2 linked regions of the Ovis aries genome follow. The protein of the gene in region 1 interacts with the protein of each later gene in a pairwise test. Links are inferred from orthologs where the notes say so. Each region holds a gene or a part of one and is shown in the gene's direction. Other genes may lie near its edges.

Region 1 (4,366 bases):
TAGATCTCTTTAAACGGATTGAAATAACAGTGACATTCTTAAAGGGTCAAATTATACAGGAAACATATACTTCTGCCCTCTTAAGATGAGTAATATATTTCTTCAAAGCAGGAAAAAAACTTTACAAACATCTTTTCAGCTTTCCAGTATATAATCAGCCTCAGAATGGCAACCATTTCCTATTGTCAGGTAGTTGGTGAGAAATGCAAAGTACACCTGCAACCAGCGGCTCAGGAAGATCAAGGTGAACACCAGGCCTTGGCTCTCACTTCTACCATTCTGTTACCAGGTACGGAAAACTTCAGCGAAAGGACAATTAAAAAATACACATTTTAGCCAGGTATTTGTATGGATGTGAGAGTTGGACTGTGAAGAAGGCTGAGCGCCAAAGAATTGATGCGTTTGAACTGTGGTGTTGGAGAAGACTCTTGAGAGTCCCTTGGACTGCAAGGAGATCCAGCCAGTCCATTCTGAAGGAGATCAGCCCTGGGATTTCTTTGGAAGGAATGATGCTAAAGCTGAAATTCCAGTACTTTGGCCACCTCATGCGAAGAGTTGACTCATTGGAAAAGACTCTGATGCTGGGAGGGATTGGGGGCAGGAGGAGAAGGGGACGACAGAGGATGAGATGGCTGGATGGCATCACTGACTCGATGGACATGAGTCTGAGTGAACTCCGGGAGATGGTGATGGACAGGGAGGCCTGGCATACTGTGATTCATGGGGTCGCAAAGAGTCGGACACGACTGAGCGACTAAACTGAACTGAACTGAACCCCCTTAAAGGTAATGATTAATCCTATGATGACGTTTGTTTGTTTGTTTTTTCCTTTCTTTCTTTTTGGGACCTAAGCGGGGGAGTGGGGGGGGGAGACATCAGGGTGTCACGAATTTCTATCAAACAAGAAAATGAATTAGCTTAGCAGTCTTGGGAAAACTATGAAGTTATGGCAGCTTTGCAGGTGTCCCAAGATTTGGGTTGCTTTACAGGAATAACTGAATTCATGGCACAATTAAGTACTGGTTCAAGCTCATGCTAAAATATCCTAAGTCCCTTTTACTTTAAATCATTCTAAGTATGCTTTTCTTTGGAAGGCATCAACTGCAATATGCCACTTCCAGAGATGCATTCCTATACCAACTAGACTTTAAAAATGGTAATTACTCTAAAGGCACACCCTTGAGCAACCATCACACCGCACTGAGCTCCTGAGAATATTCTGGAAGCATCACTGTGAACAGTTGCTTCTCTGTAGGGGAAAAAAGTGAAATTAAACAGAAGCAGCAGCTTCTGTATGGAGAAACACGGTTTGACACTTGGAATCCTTTTCTACTGCAACAGGTTTACCAACAGCTGCGTTCCTCTGGAGTTTTGAATCTGTGAATCCTTGAGTATCACTCCGCCTTTTTTTTTTTTTTTTTTTTAATCATGAAATACCTTCTGTATACCGTACGGCAGGAAGAGAAAGTTTGGAAATTACATGCATAAGACTCAGCTAACCCAGATGACATACATGCAATAGCATTACTTGAAGAACTTATTCAACCCAATCCTTTGCATCTTGTTAACCAAGGCACAGAACCTCTCCAAATTTTGCACCAAAGAAAAGAGAGAATGCAAGGGTCTTGCTGCAGCTCCTGGGACGCACTGAACACCACCTTGTTACAAGTGTATCCAAAGCTCCCAGCACCAGGGACTTGGGCGGACTGCTTCTCTCTGTTTCACTGTCCCTGAAGCTTTCAGAGGAGACGGTTGTGCTATGAATGCAGACCTTACAAAGCAGGCCAAGAAGATGCTTCGTACCCCCAAGTGCTCGCGGTGCCGGAACCATGGCTTCCTGGTACCAGTCAAGGGCCACGCGGGCAAGTGCCGCTGGAAGCAGTGCACCTGCGAGAAGTGCTACTTGATCACCGAGCGCCAGAAGATCGTGGCTGCACAAAAGATGCTCAAGAAGCAGGCCTCTGGAGAGGAGCAGGAGGTGGCCCTGTGCGCACAGGGACCCCAGCTGGCCCCCGGGGGCGCGGCCGCCACCCCAGGCCCAAGCTTCTGCCCGCTGCTTCCGCTTGCCCCTTTGGGAGACGCGCAGCCGGGCCCTTCGGGCCAAGCGGCCGCCTGCCTCCCTGAGAGGCCCCCGCGGGGCCAGAGCCCCAGCCCGAGTGCCTTCCAGCCAGTTCTGGGCGGCCACAACCGCGGCCACGTGGGCCTGAGCGAACAAGCAGCCAGGGCCAGGCCCAGCTCTCTGGAGCCCCAGCTGACGGCGGAGGCCGCCGGCCGGGGCTACCCCGGCTGCCTGGAGCTGCGCAGGCTGCCGCGGCCTGTGCCGAGCCCGCCGTTCACCGACTTCGGTAAGATTCCCGGTGCCCTGAGCCTTTGTCCCGCTGTTGGTTCCTCTCCGCCTCCCCACTTCCCTCACTCTGGCGTCCCAGGCCAGCCGCGCGTATGGGCCCTTGGGGTGGGGGTGGGAAGATGCTTTCTAGAGGGAATCTTGCTTCGGGATACCTTTTTCTGAGTAGGCATTTGGGTTTGGTGCCTTTTTGCAAGAAGGTAAAAAGAGAGAAAGGAATGGGTGGTTCTGAGGGGGTAATTTTAAAAAACATTTAGCTATAGTCTCTGCTTTCCCATTCCGGGAGAAAAAAAAAATGGCCGCACACACACAAAAAAAATGGCCCCCCAGTCTGCTTAGCTGAGGCTCCTCCTCCCAACAGAGGGGATCGCGGGAGAGTGGCCATATTGCGCTTGCGCAACTCTTCCCACCCTTTTCTGGTGCTGGAGGCTCCTCCCCCAGAACGTCCTCGTGGGTGGGCCAGCGCCTTATGACTGCACCTGCGTCCCTCCGCCCACCCCTCCCCCATCTTCTGTGCCCTAGTCAGCTTGCTCCTCAGCCGTGCTCTGGCCCAATGGCTGTGTATGGGCGTTCTTCCCACCTGTTTCCCAGGCATGGATGGGAATGAGACCTCTTTTCTGCTCCCTACAAGAGAACAGTCTATTGAGACGTGGTTGCTGTTTTTCTCTCCTCCCTCCACATGCATAAATTACATTGTTCCCTAGGTATTGTAACTTTCACTATTATAATTTCAAGTCACATGTAGGTTTGAGACTTTTAAAAAGGGGCTCATTTTGGGTGCAGACACGTGTTTTCTGGTTTTCTCTATGGCAGTGTGGTAGAAAGAGCGCAAGTCTGAGTCAGGACGCTGAGGGGCTGCTCACTTGGTAATCTAAGGCAAGTTCCTTCCTTCTGTGACAGCCTCGCCCCTCTGTAGGCTAAGGGGATTGGCTTGATGCTCTCCGAAGGCCAGTTCTGCCTTCTGGGACGTTCTAGGAAAATATAGGTCCCTAGAGAACTAGATGAGGAAGACAGATCTGAAAAGCAGTTCTAGGAGAAGGATACCTTTCTACGGATATGGAGCCTTTCTTTGTTCCATCAACTGAGCACTGTGTGCCCAGCACTAGTGATGAAAAGGTGAAGAGGGGTGAGTCAGATTCCTTGCCCTCAAGGATCTTGTCCTTGTGAAAGAAAAGGACATCACAGAGAACTCTAATAACCAGTGGTTTAGCTGTGGTCTGAAGGAAGATCAGGAGCTGAGCACTGAGGATTCAAGAAGGCAAGTGGAGTTAGGAAAAAAAGCCTTCCAAGCAGAGGGGACAGCATCTGCAGAGGCCCTGAGGTGGAGGAGAAAGAAGGCGCTACTAGTGATCAGACAGTGAGGCTGGAGTGAAGGCAGGAATGCAGTCTGCGTGGGCTTCATGGCTGGGCCAAGGACTTTTGCTGAGGGCAACAGAACATGGTTGAAGGGTTTAAAAAGCAGGGAGGATCAAAAGCATAATGGATATGGGAGTTGTCTGTGAATGGATATGAGTGTTTATTTATACTGCTACCTTCAGACGATAATATGGTGCCCTTTTTTCTAGCTCCATGTGTTTTTAACACTTCCCTCGTTGCATGTCTTTTCAGGGCTCCCTCTGAGCATCAACTCAGATTCTGTGGTGGGGTCTGAGTGCCTGGAGAGAGAACCTCCCAAGCTGTACCCCAGCTGCTCCAGCATGCACCCCTACCGCCCTTTTCCTCTGGGCTACCAGGATGCGTCCCCAAGTGTGGGGATCCCTCTGCAGCAGAGTTTCCAGCACCTGTCCTATAGCCACTACTATGGAGGAGGCTTGGTGAGTCCCATTCCTGATATTTTCGAAGTTCCTCCCTATTTCAGCTGCCCTGGCTGCTTTAACAGACTTTCTCCCAGGCAGCCAGCCATTGTGCTCACTCTATACCAGGACATGGGCAATGGGTGGAAGGATACAGCATTGGCCTTGTATGCTGTGCACCTCTGGGAATGCACATGTGAACAAGTTGGCCTGGGCTGTGGCGTGGGCT
Region 2 (3,645 bases), on another chromosome or scaffold:
CTTGGATTATCACCATGTGCGGACAGGACAGTCCCTTGCGATGCTCTCCTGCCCTGCAGGGTGGGGGCTGGGGCTGTCTGGGTCACTGCTGGACACAGAGCAGGGAGTGTCTGCTGATGGCCGTTGGTGCCAGGGGGCGGGGGAGGGTGGGTGGTGCCGGATGGATGGGGTGGGCAGCAGGAAGGGGAAGAGCCTGGGATCTTGCATCGGTCCCCAACTTGCTGCAAGCCTCACCCTTCACCTCCCTGAGCCTCAGCTTCCTCCCTCCACAGTGGGGAGTCGGGGCAGGAAGGTCCAAGCCTCCTGGCAGAGACAGGGAAACTGAGGCTCCAAGGGCATCGGGCAGGGGCTTGTTCCCAATGCTGCCCAGGACACCTGCTCTGTCCCTTGCATCCGCTTCTCCCGGGCCCCCCCCCATCAGCTCTCACGCCACATCTCTGTCTCTCGGTCCATCTCAGTCCGCCTCCCCTGTAACAATCTGACCCCCTTTCTTACCTCTCTCCCCGTCATCAGTCTGTATGTTTGCCTCTTCCAGCCGGTCTGACTCGTCCTCTTCCTGTCTCTTGCTCCCCGTTTGACTGTCTGTCTCTTTCCTTGTCTGTCTCACATCCCCCGGTTTGTCTATTTGTCTGTCTCTCCCAGTCTGTCTTTTGTCGTCCCACCCGTCTTTTTCTTCTCCAGTCTCCCTGTCTGGGTCTCTCTGAGGGCCTGTCCTCAGCCCTCTCTCTCGGTCTGTCTTCCTCTTCCTCTCCTTGGGTCCCTCTTCCTGGCACACTGACTTTGTGTCTGTGAATCTCCCAGGGGAACGAGAAGGTGACCGGCCCCTGGGGGGAGGATGCCAGGCTCCCCAGAGCTAACTGGCCTCTCCCCCTTGCCCCCGCCCGCCTCTCTGCAGCGAGACGGTTGTGTGCACCAGCCGGGCCACGGTGATGCTCTATGATGACAGCAACAAGCGCTGGCTGCCCGCCGGCACGGGCCCGCAGGCCTTCAGCCGCGTCCAGATCTATCACAACCCCACCGCCAACTCCTTCCGGGTGGTCGGCCGCAAGATGCAGCCGGACCAGCAGGTGAGGCTCCCCTCCTCCTCGCCCCCTCTGCCTGCGGGGCCTCACCACCCCCATCCACTTCTCCCCTCCCTGCCTCCCGCCAGGTGGTCATCAACTGTGCCATCGTCCGAGGTGTCAAGTATAACCAAGCCACCCCCAACTTCCACCAGTGGCGCGATGCCCGGCAAGTCTGGGGCCTCAACTTTGGCAGCAAGGAGGATGCCACGCAGTTTGCCAATGGCATGGCCAGCGCCCTAGAGGCCTTGGAAGGTTAGAGACAGTGGGCGGAGGGGACCGTTGAGCCCTGCCGTGGGGCCTGGGGCTGCCCCTTTACCACTCGGCCTCAGTATACTCATCTGAAAACAGGGCCCATTCACTGCTGCTACGGAGAGTTTCTGGGCTGGCCGGAAAGCTCATTCAGGTTTTTCCAATGCTACGGAGAAATCCAAATAGGTTTTTTTCGCCAACCCAATTTTGTGGGCTCCTCTTTGCCCTGCGTGCACCCACGTGTCAAACGCATGGTTCCTAAGAGCCCATTTGGCTCCGTGAATTTTTACACTTGCGCACTCCTTTGTGACCACCTCCCAGATCAAGATAGAAATATTTCAGGCCTCCGGGAGGTTTCCTTTGCCCTTTCTCCAGGTAACCATTAGACTGACTGACATCATTGTCAGTCAGTTTTCAAGCCACAATGTTAAGAAAATACTTCCAGTTGGTATTTCTTAAACTGGAATGTGCCTGCGAGTCATCTAAGAAAAAATGCAGATTCTGAATCAGGTAGGTGGGCCAAGACCGGAGCCTCTGTGCTTCCCAACAAGCTCCCTGATGATGCCAGAGCTGACCGGTCCATAAGGAGCACTTTGAGGAGCAACGGTTTTAGGTGACGGCTGTGCGTCTAGGTTCGCCAGTTGTCAAATGGTGGAGGCATTTGCTTCCAAGGGCAACTGCAGTGGCAGTCTGAAGCACAAGAAATAACGGGAGCCGGAGGCCTGAGGCTGGGTGAGGAGGGGGCTGTCAGCCTCTTCTGAGCTCTCAGGTAGGGGGTCTGAGCAGCTGTGACTGTGCGTTAAGAGCCTGGATTCTGGAATCTGCCTGAATTCAAGTCTTGTCCCTGCCAATTCCCATCTGCAGGCCTTGGGGTGGGTGACCCCCTTCTATGGGCCTTCGCTGTCCTGCCTGTGATCTGGGTATCCTTCCAGTGCCCACCACCTGTCAGCTCAGTCAGGGGAAGCGGGAGCCAACCCTCCTCACAGGGTACCCGGAGGCCCCTCGGGAGCGTGCCAAGGGGTGGGGCTGGCTTCTGTGTGACTCACTAGCCTTTACTCTCACTTCCAGGAGGTGGGCCCCCGCCCCCACCACCACCTACAGCGCCTCCCACCTGGTCTGCCCAGAATGGCCCCTCGCCAGAGGAGATGGAGCAGCAGAAAAGGTGGGGCTGGTCCCCGGGTGGGAAACCTTCCCCCAGCCAGAGTTCTAGGTGGTTCCAAAACCCTTGACGCCTAGAGTTCAGACCTGTCCAACTTTCAATTTTCAGAATGTTCCAACTCCCAGGGGACTAGAAATCCACAGCCTTAAGAACCACCCTCCCCGCCTTGGAGTTTGAAAAACTCCTGATGCCCAGAGTTACAGAACCCTTCAAATCCCAATCCCAGTCCCCTGGACTTGCAGAGTCCAGAACGGGGTTGTTTAAAGGATCTTGGGCGTTTTGTGATTCATGATGGTCTGATGACTGGATCGCTCCCATCCCGGTCTTGCCCTGTCCCTGCCCTCACCACCCCACCCCCCAGCCCTTTCCCGGGTCCCTCGGGGATAGAGGACATGAGTGGGGCTTAGGAACCAGCCCTGCCGGACACCTCTGAGGGGCAATCCGGGAGGTTGCTGGCCACCTGGGAGCCCTGGGTGATAGCCACTCGCCCTCCCTCCCCAGGCAGCAGCAGTCAGAGCTCATGGAGCGGGAGCGCAGAGCCTCCAACGCAGGTGATTGCTCAAATGGCCTCGGGGGGTCAGGGGACCGCCCCAGAGGAGGGGGTGGGCCAGCCGGACAGCAAAGCATGAAGCTTCTCTCTCAGCACCCCTCCTGTTTTGTGTTCCTTACAGGAGGCCCGCCTGCTCCCCCAGCTGGGGCACCTCCACCGCCCCCGGGACCTCCCCCTCCTCCAGGTCCACCCCCACCCCCTGGTCTCTCCTCCTCAGGGGTCTCGGCCGCCACACAGGGAGCAGGGGGAGGCCCGCCCCCGGCACCCCCTCTCCCCACAGCACAAGGCCCCAGTGGTGGAGGGACCGGGGCCCCCAGCCTGGCCTCAGCCATTGCCGGCGCCAAACTCAGGAAAGTTAGCAAGGTGAGGGGCAGGCGCAGCGGATGTGGGGTGACGGGTCTGATATAATAATGGAATGAGGCTAGAGTTGCCTGGGAGCCTCACAGGAGGGCTGGGAGGCCCGCCCGTAAAGCCCTCTCTTCTCTGTAATTTCTCCAGCAGGAGGAGGCTTCAGCGGGGCCCGTGGCCCCCAAAGCTGAGAGCAGTCGAAGCACGGGCGGAGGCCTCATGGAGGAGATGAACGCCATGCTGGCCCGGAGGTGAGCCCGAGCTCAGAGCTCTCA

What was found. The genes of interacting proteins can lie anywhere in the genome.
Region 2: the proteins of DMRTB1 (region 1) and VASP interact in a two-hybrid assay, tested with the Homo sapiens proteins (2 studies listed by BioGRID and IntAct). The two-hybrid records come from large-scale screens. The link is inferred for Ovis aries from reciprocal best matches to the Homo sapiens genes DMRTB1 and VASP.

What each region holds. Positions count from the first base shown.
Region 1 is NC_056054.1:27,981,513-27,985,878, forward strand, and holds the start of DMRTB1 (doublesex- and mab-3-related transcription factor B1), read left to right. Parts: upstream 1-1,438; 5' UTR 1,439-1,759; coding exon 1,760-2,345; intron 2,346-3,952; coding exon 3,953-4,158; intron 4,159-4,366.
Region 2 is NC_056067.1:52,898,472-52,902,116, forward strand, and holds part of VASP (vasodilator-stimulated phosphoprotein), read left to right. Parts: intron 1-895; coding exon 896-1,067; intron 1,068-1,150; coding exon 1,151-1,316; intron 1,317-2,381; coding exon 2,382-2,475; intron 2,476-2,973; coding exon 2,974-3,023; intron 3,024-3,143; coding exon 3,144-3,385; intron 3,386-3,520; coding exon 3,521-3,621; intron 3,622-3,645. UniProt on the Homo sapiens protein: Ena/VASP proteins are actin-associated proteins involved in a range of processes dependent on cytoskeleton remodeling and cell polarity such as axon guidance, lamellipodial and filopodial dynamics, platelet activation and cell migration.